Linked DNA regions of Macaca fascicularis. The protein of the gene in region 3 purifies or fractionates together with the protein of the main gene of each other region. This does not show direct contact. Links are inferred from orthologs where the notes say so. Each region holds a gene or a part of one and is shown on either strand. Other genes may lie near its edges.

Region 1 (3,659 bases), on a different chromosome or scaffold from region 3:
TCAAGCGATTCTCCTACCTCAACCTCCCAGGTAGCTGGGACTACAGGTGTGTGCCACCATACCTGACCTGGACTTGTTTAAATAAACGTATTGGCCCACTTAATTGGCTTACTTGCCCATCTGTTGTATTTAAATGCTCCGTTAATTGATTTGAAAGAATTTAGACTACTTTTCCTTTTTTTTAGACTTGACACTTCTCTACCTGTTGGGCTCCAGATTTAGAAATAAATATATAACCTTTTTTTTTTTTTTTTTTTTTTTTTTGAGACAGAGTCTCGCTCTGTCGCCCGGGCTGGAGTGCAGTGGCCGGATCTCAGCTCACTGCAAGCTCCGCCTCCCGGGTTCACGCCATTCTCCTGCCTCAGCCTCCCGAGTAGCTGGGACTACAGGCGCCCACCACCGCGCCCGGCTAATTTTTTGTATTTTTTAGTAGAGACGGGGTTTCACCGTGTTAACCAGGATGGTCTCGATCTCCTGACCTCGTGATCCGCCCGTCTCGGCCTCCCAAAGTGCTGGGATTACAGGCTTGAGCCACCGCGCCCAGCCAATATATAACCTTTTTTTGGGGGGGTGGGGGGGATTTGATTTGTCAGTTTTTAAATTTTACTCTTGTCAACTTACAAAAACCTTTTAAAATGTATTACGGCAGTACATTGCAGAAATTTTAAGAAATGTATGTAACCCCAGAAGGAAACTTAAATCAACATTATGGTAATCTGTTTTCAGATTTTGCTGTTTTTAAATGGGTCTGCTATTATACTGTACTATGGTATGATACCAATCTGGAACTGTTAATATACAAATCTACATTAACATAAGTGGCTGCAATAGGATTCTATCATGTGACTCATTATACTGGCCTCTCTGACCCCCAGGGTTTTCCACCCAAGAATGTAGTACATTGAAAGGTAAAAATAAGTTTTCTTGGCCAGCTGTTGAACTTAATGTGTTTCCCGCTTAGTGGGCCCATGCCTGGGGTTTATACTTTGAGGTGTTCTTGATACCAGTAGCTTATAGAGTAAGTCTTAACGTTGTTGATAGGTTCTTGGAAACTGAGACTTCTAGCAGAATGACCTCGAATAATGTCATGCAGGTCCTCAAATAATGTCATGTCACTGTAACACAGCCGAGGGGGAAAGAACCTATCAACAGTGAACTCTAAGTGAGAACTTGAAATTAATGCCCTCAGCAAGTGAAGGCATTAGTGCTATGCCTACCCTTGCTCTTCATTCAGGAAAACCTAGCTGAGTTTGCTTCCCTAGCTAGCATAACAAGTTATTTTGCCTCAATACACGATTAAAGACAGATTGTTTAATTTTGTCAGTGTATGATAATGATAGTGCTTTTAAGTCCTTATTTAAGAGGTACATACTGAAGTATTTGTGGGTTAATGGATGTGGTTGGAGTTTACTTGAAAGTATATGTGGGGGCCATGGGTAGGGGTATAATACATGAAATATTAGTCATGAGTTAGAAACTGCTGAAGCTAAATTGGATGGATATGTAGGAATTCATTGTATTGTTGGCTCTTTTTATACAGGATTAATATTTTCCATACTAAAAGGGGAAACACGATTGTTCTGTTAGGTAACCAGAGTGATCTTGGGAAATAATCAGGAGATAACTGCTTCAGTGTAACACTCTACAAACACAGGTTTTCTTACATGAGTTACGTTGTAAGAGTTGTTGTCCAAACCCTTACTGAACTAAAATATGTGGGTCAGAGGTGAGGGGTAGGGAAGTCTCAGTAAAAAAAAAAAAAAAAAAAAAAAAACATGTTTAAGAATTTTTTGCCCTGTTAGAAAATACTCCTCTCCCTGTGTTTTATGGACCACATGGGCTAAGGGAGGGTCTAGCGCTGATTGTTTTGTTTGCTTGTTTTAATTTAAATGACGCAAGGGCTGAACTCCTGCGCTCCAGGGTGCTGTCCTCAGGGTATCCTCCTGACTCTGCCTCCCAAAAGGTAGTTACCGTTTTTTTAAGGGGACTATACTGAATAGTTCTTAAAAAATATGGATTTTCAGGCACCGGCTCAGGTCTGTAATCGTAACACTATAGGAGGCTGAGACAGGAGGATCCCTTGAGCCCAGTAGTTCAAGACTAGCCTGAGCGACATGAGAACCCCTGTCTCTATTTAAAAAAAAAATTTTTTTAAAGCTGGTCCCCAGCTACTCGGGAGGCTGAGGTGGGAGGATCACTTGAGCCCAGGAGATGGAGGCTGCAGTGAGCCATGTTTGTGCCACTGCACTCCAGCCTAGACAACAGAACAGAGCAAGATCCTATCTCAAGAAAAGATAGATTTAAAATTTTTTGTTTTATATATAAATACTACAATAGAGAGAAGGGTTTTGATTTACATTGCTGTTAGACTTAATAGAAGTAATTTGATGTGTTGTAAGTAATGAAATTGAAATAGTTAATATTTTTTGGTTATAACCAGTGTTTGCCAGTCATGGTTTAGTACCAGCATATACCTGTTTAGTTAATACTCTCAACATTGCTAATGAGGTGTAGGTGTCTGTGGGAAAGTTGAAACTTGGAAAGGATATGCAGCTTCCCCAGGGTAATCCAGCCAGTGAATAGCAGCTCTGAGATTTGAAGGCTGGTCTCTTTGCCTCTAGAGTTTGTGTTCTCCACTGTGATATCTTTTTTCAGGAGCAAATTGGACTGAACTACTTAAGTGGGCTTTCTTAGTCATTTCTGTGATTTTTACACATAAACATTTATGTATACATTGTATGATTCTGACCTTAGTTGGATATTTAATAAGAGTATAAAACTAATGTTTTTAGGCATGAAAGATGGCCAGAAGATAACATTCCATGGTGAAGGAGACCAAGAACCAGGATTGGAGCCAGGCGATATTATCATTGTGTTAGATCAGAAGGACCATGCTGTTTTTACTCGGTAAAGACTTTTATCAGCCACTCAAACTGATGTCTTACATATTTGGGTTGTTGGTTTTGGTTTGTTTTTTTGTTTGTTTTTTTTAAAGTGTTTTCCATTACTTTTGAAACCTATTTCCTGGAAAAAGATTGTTAACCATTGTTTGGATCGTAAGAAGTTGAATACATAGGATCAGATTTTTAGCTTTTTGTCTCTAAGTATGGAACGTTGAAAATGTGTTTTAATTAGATGTTTTGTGTGAACCTAAATAGCAGATGGCTGGGGAAAACATCCCTGGAGAAAAATTTTGCCCTCCATCTTTGTAAAACAATTTAAGTGCCTTAAAACTCGCAGCAGTTTTCAATCCCAAGTTTATGATAAAGTTGAATTGCTTTTAATTGTAAATACCCAAAAGCATCTCTGTAGGAAACTTAAATTGGAACAATACTAAGTATAAATTCAGGTCTACCGTTTTGAACTAAATAATGAGTATGATGAACACTGAAGCACAAGAAAAATTGATGATTAACAGCACATGTTTATATCAAATATGTCCATGGCTAACATAACAGACTCTCTGTGCATGCTATATTCCCAGCAACTTGGGAGGCTGAGGTGGGAGGATCACTTGAGGCCAGGAGTCCTAGCTACTGGGGAGGCCGAGGCAGGAGAGTGGCTTGAACTCAGGAGTTCAAGGTTATGATCATGCCACTGCATTCTAGCCTGGGTGACAGTAAGAGCCCATCTTTCTTTTTTTTTAAACGGACTGGAGG
Region 2 (3,659 bases), on a different chromosome or scaffold from region 3:
AGAGCGAGACTCCATCTCAAAAAAAAAAAGAAAATGGTAGAGAAAAGCTGGCTTATTGTTTGCATTTTTTAAAATATAGTTTGTAAATCTCCCCAGCACCCAGGCTGAACTTTGCACCATTCGGCAGAATGGAAGCTGATGCATCTGTTGACATGTTTTCCAAAGTCCTGGAGAATCAGCTGCTTCAGACAACCAAACTAGTGGAAGAACATTTGGATTCTGAAATTCAAAAACTGGATCAGATGGATGAGGATGAATTGGAACGCCTGAAAGAAAAGAGACTTGAGGCCCTAAGGAAAGCTCAACAGCAGAAACAAGTAACCTCTCTGCTCTGCTTTCTGAAATTGCTATAACAGTATGCGCCTAACAACTTATATATCCATGTGCCGTAGTAGTTACATTTCATTCTTTGTTTTTAGGGTTTTGGGAATTTAGAGTACCTATTACTGTTAAAATTTTGCCCAGAAAAAAATATATTTTAAAGACACATTCAAAATTAGCCCAATCTCTATGTGAATCCACAGTCGAGTAAAAGAAAGATCTGCCCAAGATCGTTTTTCTGAGCTTGGATTTGTGTGGTTGAATGGAGGGCAAGGGAGTCATTGGTTTTCATTTCAGGTAATGTTAAAGCCTATCAAAATTTAGCTATTTTCAAAGCAAACAAGATAAGACAGGTGAGATAATAGCTATTAAGTCAGTTTATGTTGAAAAAATTATTTCAGGCATTTCCAATGAAATATTTAATTAGTGGCATGTTCAAAAGAATGCATGCTTTGTAACAAAGAAAGGTGGTCACAGCTCTATCCTCGTTGCCCCTTAGAATGTTTGTGTAGAATAAACACAGAGTTGTAAACTCGGATTGAAACCAACGGATTAAATTCTGTAAATTGAATTTTTTTTCTTGTTTTTGAGCTAGAGTCTCGCTGTGACACCCCGGCTGGAGTGCAATGGTGTCATCTCGACTCACTGCAACTTCCGCTTCCCGGGTTCAAGCAATTCTCCTGCCTCAGTCACCCGAGTAGCTGGGACTACAGGTGCACATCACACACCCGGCTAATTTTTGTATTTTTAGTAGAGACGGGGTTTCACCATATTGGCCAGACTGCCCTGGAATTTCTGACCTCAAGTAATCCACCAACCTTAGCCTCCCAGGTTGGCGATGGAATTACAAGCGTGAGCCACCGCACCCGGCCAAATTCTGTAAATTGAATTTTGATTAAAACATTTTTCCATTGGGTTGCATGGAAATACATTATCACCAACTCTGGTTCCTTTTCAGTTGCCTGTGACTTAAACATGAGGCTTAACTTTTCTGAAGAAATAGAGAGTTTTGACTGGGCATGGTGGCTCACATCCGTAATCCCAACACTTTGGGAGGCCAAGGCGGGCAGGCAACCTGAGGTTGGGAGTTCAAGACCAGCCTGGCCAACATGGTGAAACCCTGTCTCTACTAAAAATACAAAAATTAGCCAGGTGTGGTGGCATGTGCCTGTAGTCCCAGCTACTCAGGAGGCTGAGACAAGAGAATCTCTTGGACTTGGGAGGTGGAGGTTGCAGTGAGTTGAGATTATGCTACTGCACTCCAGCCTGGACGATAAAGCAAGACCCAGTTCCCCCACAAAAAAAAAAAAAAAAAAAAAGAGAAGGAGTTTTGTTTGTATTGCTGTAGCATCACTTTATATGTTTACACCCTCATGTTTAGAAGAGTTGATATGTTTAGAAGAGTTACTACAAAAGGAAATCTTTTATGAATGAGTCCAAATTTTTACATTTTGAGTTTTCTAAAGTAGAGTATGTTATATGGCTTTTACATGTACCCTATTTTAGAAAATAGACTGCTTTTCTTTTTCTTTTTCTTTTTTATTTTTTGAGAGGGAGTCTCAGTCTATTGCCTATCCTGCCTTGACCTCCCAAGTAGCTGAGATTACAGGTGCCCACCACCATGCCCAGCTAATTTTTGTGTTTTAGTGGAGACAGGGTTTCACCATGCTGGTCAGGCTGGTCTCGAACTCTGACCTCAAGTGATCCGCCTGCCTCGGCCTCCCAAAGTGCTGGGATTACAGGCATGAGCCACCCCACACCAGGCCCAATTGGCTCCTTTTCATAGTATAGGGCTGATAATTAGTGTGCAGAGGACAGATTATTGGAATTTAAGGTAATATATGTTTAGGTTCTACCACAAACTCGTATTTCATGGTCACATTTAAGTACTAATTGCTAATGTGCAACTACAAATAATTATTTGTAACTAGGATATTTTTGCAGAGAGACTGAATTCACCGGATTCGCAGTGATGAACATACATTAAATCATGTCTTACAGGAACTTTTTTGGCAGTTCAAAACGGTGGTCTGAGTATTTATAATTAAAACCAACTAAGGCAAACCGGCTATAGGCCTTTTTTTATTAATGTATAAATCAATGTAAAATGAATTTGTCATCGAGTAATTCAGAAGGTCTTATTTTAGAACTTTCATTGCATTTCAGTAGATCTTTTTTATTAAAATGCTTTCTGGAAATAGGCAAGAAACCTAGTGATTTGTGTAGATATTCTTTTTATAAGAGATGATACAGTAATTAGATGATACAGTAATTTTGATTTTCTGATCTTTGAGGGTATTGGGGAGATCAGCACTTAATAGGCCTAGGCGAATCTATATTCTCCTGTCAGCCAAGCACCCTCCTACTGTTAACTAGAGCTGGCGCACTTAGGTAGGGACCAGAACAGAGGGATAAGGTGAGAAATAGGAGTTAAGCAGAGGCTTGGGTGGCAGCCACTGAGAGAGCTGTAACCCCAGCACTTTTGGAGGGCAAGGTGGGAGGATTGCTTAAACCTAGGAGTTTGAGATCAGCCTGGCAATATAGTAAAACACCGTCTCTACCAAAAAAAAAAAAAAAAAAAATTAACCAGGCATGGTGTGGCGTGTGCCAGTGGTCCCAACTCCTTGGGAGACTGACGTAGATGGATCTCTTGATCCCAGGAGGTTGAGGCTGCAGTGAGCTATGACCATGCCACCGCCGCACTTCATCCTGGGCAACTTTAGTGAGACCCATTCTCAAAAAACAAACAAACAAAAAACTTTTTGGCCAGGCATGGTGGATCACAATAAACCCAGCACTTTGGGAAGCTGAGGCAGGCGGATCACAAGGTCAAGAAATCGAGACCATCCTGGCCAACATGGTGAAACTCCGTCTCTACTAAAAATACAAAAATTAGCTGGGCATGGTGGCGCCTGCCTGTAGTCCCAGCTACTGGGGAGACAGAAGCAGAATTGCTTGAACCCGGGAGGTGGAGGTTGCAGTGAGCCGAGATTGCACCACGGCACTCCAGCCTGGCGATAGAGTGAAACTGTCTCAAAAAAAAAAAAAAAAAGGCATGATCTGTCCGTCTTGGCCTCCCTAAGTGCTGGGATTACAGGCTTGAGCCACCGCGCCTGGCCCACTTAAAATTATTATCAGCGTGACAGTAATTATTTCCCTCCAGTATTGTGATATAGCTACGATATTGGGAACAGGCAACAGCTGTTGAGAATCGTGTTCCTTCAGTCCCTACTTGAAGGAACTAAAAAAAAAAAAAAAAAAAGTGGTTTTTTTGTTTTTAAATTCATTACAAAATACGACAGTGATTTGGACACTTAAAATGTCAAGTGGTGCTGAAA
Region 3 (2,176 bases):
TTGGAATATTCACCATTTTATGTTAGTTACATAAGATCCAGCAGCCAACCAGATTTTGGTTATGTGTTACCAACTTTCAACTCTAAAAAGTACTGGCAGTTTAAATAACTTTATTATAATAATGAGGTAAAAACTTAAGAATAGTATGAGCCGGGAACAGTGGTTCACACCTGTAATCCCAGCACTTTGGGAGGCCGAGGCGAGCGGATCACTGGAAGTCAGGAGTTTGAGACCAGCCTGACCATCATGGTGAAACCCAGTCTCCACTAAAAATACAAAAATTAGATTGGTGGTGGATGCCTATAATCCCAGCTACTTGGGAGGCTGAGGCAGGAGAAGCTCTTGAACCCAGGAGATGGAGGTTGCAGTGAGCCCAGATCACACCACTGCACTCCAGCCTGGGCAACAGAGCAAGACTCCATCTCACAAAAAAAAAAAAAAGAAAAAAAGTACGTGATGCTCTGTGATGGTAATCTTTAGATATACATTTTATGTTTCACAAATAAAAGTTTTAAATTCCTAAGATACTTTAAAACACAAACGTCACGTCATAGGATATGTATAAACCACAGGCAACACTTATTCTTTATTCTCAATGCACTAAATAAAATTTCAGACACCCAGATAGAAAACACAGGACTGAATTCATTTAAGACAGGGAATACTTTATTCAAAACCCATCACAGAAATGGACAGCTTGGGTCTGTAACAAAGCATTCATGTTTTAGAGCATAGGTCAGTAATTGTATATAAGAGCATACACTGCTACATACAAATTAACTGAGCAGACCACAACTTTTCAACGTTTAAAACAGAATAAGCTTCCCTGTAAAAGCAGCACCTTTGTGACATTTTAACTTTAGTATTCCTCTCCTTCTTCCTCACCCTCTCCTTCAACAGAATCCACACCAACCTCCTCATAATCCTTCTCAAGGGCAGCCATGTCTTCACGGGCCTCTGAAAACTCGCCTTCCTCCATCCCCTCACCCACATACCAGTGAACAAAGGCACGCTTGGCATACATCAGGTCAAACTTGTGGTCCAGGCGAGCCCAGGCCTCAGCAATGGCTGTGGTGTTGCTCAGCATGCACACAGCTCTCTGAACCTTGGCCAGGTCTCCACCAGGCACCACAGTGGGAGGCTGGTAGTTGATGCCAACCTTGAAGCCAGTGGGGCACCAATCCACAAACTGGATGGTACGCTTGGTCTTGATGGTGGCAATGGCAGCATTGACATCTTTGGGAACCACATCACCACGGTACAACAGGCAGCAAGCCATGTATTTACCATGGCGAGGGTCACATTTCACCATCTGGTTGGCTGGCTCAAAGCAAGCATTGGTGATCTCTGCTACAGAAAGCTGTTCATGGTAGGCTTTCTCAGCAGAGATGACAGGGGCGTATGTGGCCAGAGGGAAGTGGATGCGGGGGTAGGGCACCAGGTTGGTCTGGAATTCTGTCAGGTCAACATTCAGGGCTCCATCAAATCTCAGGGAAGCAGTGATGGAGGACACAATTTGACCTATTAACCTATTCAGGTTAGTATAGGTTGGACGCTCAATATCAAGGTTTCTACGACAGATGTCATAGATGGCCTCATTGTCTACCATGAAGGCACAATCAGAGTGCTCCAGGGTGGTGTGGGTGGTGAGGATGGAGTTGTAGGGCTCAACTACAGCTGTGGAAACCTGGGGCGCTGGGTAAATGGAGAACTCCAGCTTGGACTTCTTGCCATAATCAACTGAGAGACGTTCCATGAGCAGGGAGGTGAACCCAGAACCAGTTCCCCCACCAAAGCTGTGGAAAACCAAGAAGCCCTGAAGACCGGTGCACTGGTCAGCCTATTACAAAAGAGAGAAACAGAGGAAAGGTTAAGTTTTTGTTCTTTGTAGTACAATCATAGGAAATATATTTTCACTTTTCATACATCTCCCAGGATTTAGATCTTATTTTGACAAATGCTTTTTAAAAAATTCTCATTAACATTTACAAAATGATACCAAATAGTTCATTTTAACTGATAAAAACCCCACAAGAACGACTCATTCCACTCTTTATTAAAATAACAGTTCAATTCTGTTTGAAAAAAAAAAAAAGCAGTATTTCAAATGTGTTCTTTAGGCTCATTAATTTACTTTATTCTTGAAAAGAAACATACCAGCTTACGAATTCGGTCC

The links.
Region 1: the proteins of tubulin alpha-1A chain (region 3) and DNAJA1 purify together in Homo sapiens (affinity purification with mass spectrometry; 3 studies listed by BioGRID and IntAct, with this or other methods). This does not show direct contact. The link is inferred for Macaca fascicularis from reciprocal best matches to the Homo sapiens genes TUBA1A and DNAJA1.
Region 2: the proteins of tubulin alpha-1A chain (region 3) and TXNDC9 purify together in Homo sapiens (affinity purification with mass spectrometry; 3 studies listed by BioGRID and IntAct, counting the BioPlex papers as one, with this or other methods). This does not show direct contact. The link is inferred for Macaca fascicularis from reciprocal best matches to the Homo sapiens genes TUBA1A and TXNDC9.

Annotation. Positions count from the first base shown.
Region 1 is NC_088389.1:66,045,989-66,049,647, reverse strand, and holds part of DNAJA1 (dnaJ homolog subfamily A member 1), read left to right. Parts: intron 1-2,792; coding exon 2,793-2,907; intron 2,908-3,659.
Region 2 is NC_088387.1:3,825,400-3,829,058, reverse strand, and holds part of TXNDC9 (thioredoxin domain-containing protein 9), read left to right. Parts: intron 1-96; 5' UTR 97-128; coding exon 129-317; intron 318-3,659. UniProt on the Homo sapiens protein: Significantly diminishes the chaperonin TCP1 complex ATPase activity, thus negatively impacts protein folding, including that of actin or tubulin.
Region 3 is NC_088385.1:55,999,578-56,001,753, forward strand, and holds the end of tubulin alpha-1A chain, read right to left. Parts: coding exon 2,158-2,176; intron 1,841-2,157; coding exon 860-1,840; 3' UTR 649-859; downstream 1-648. UniProt on the Homo sapiens protein: Tubulin is the major constituent of microtubules, a cylinder consisting of laterally associated linear protofilaments composed of alpha- and beta-tubulin heterodimers.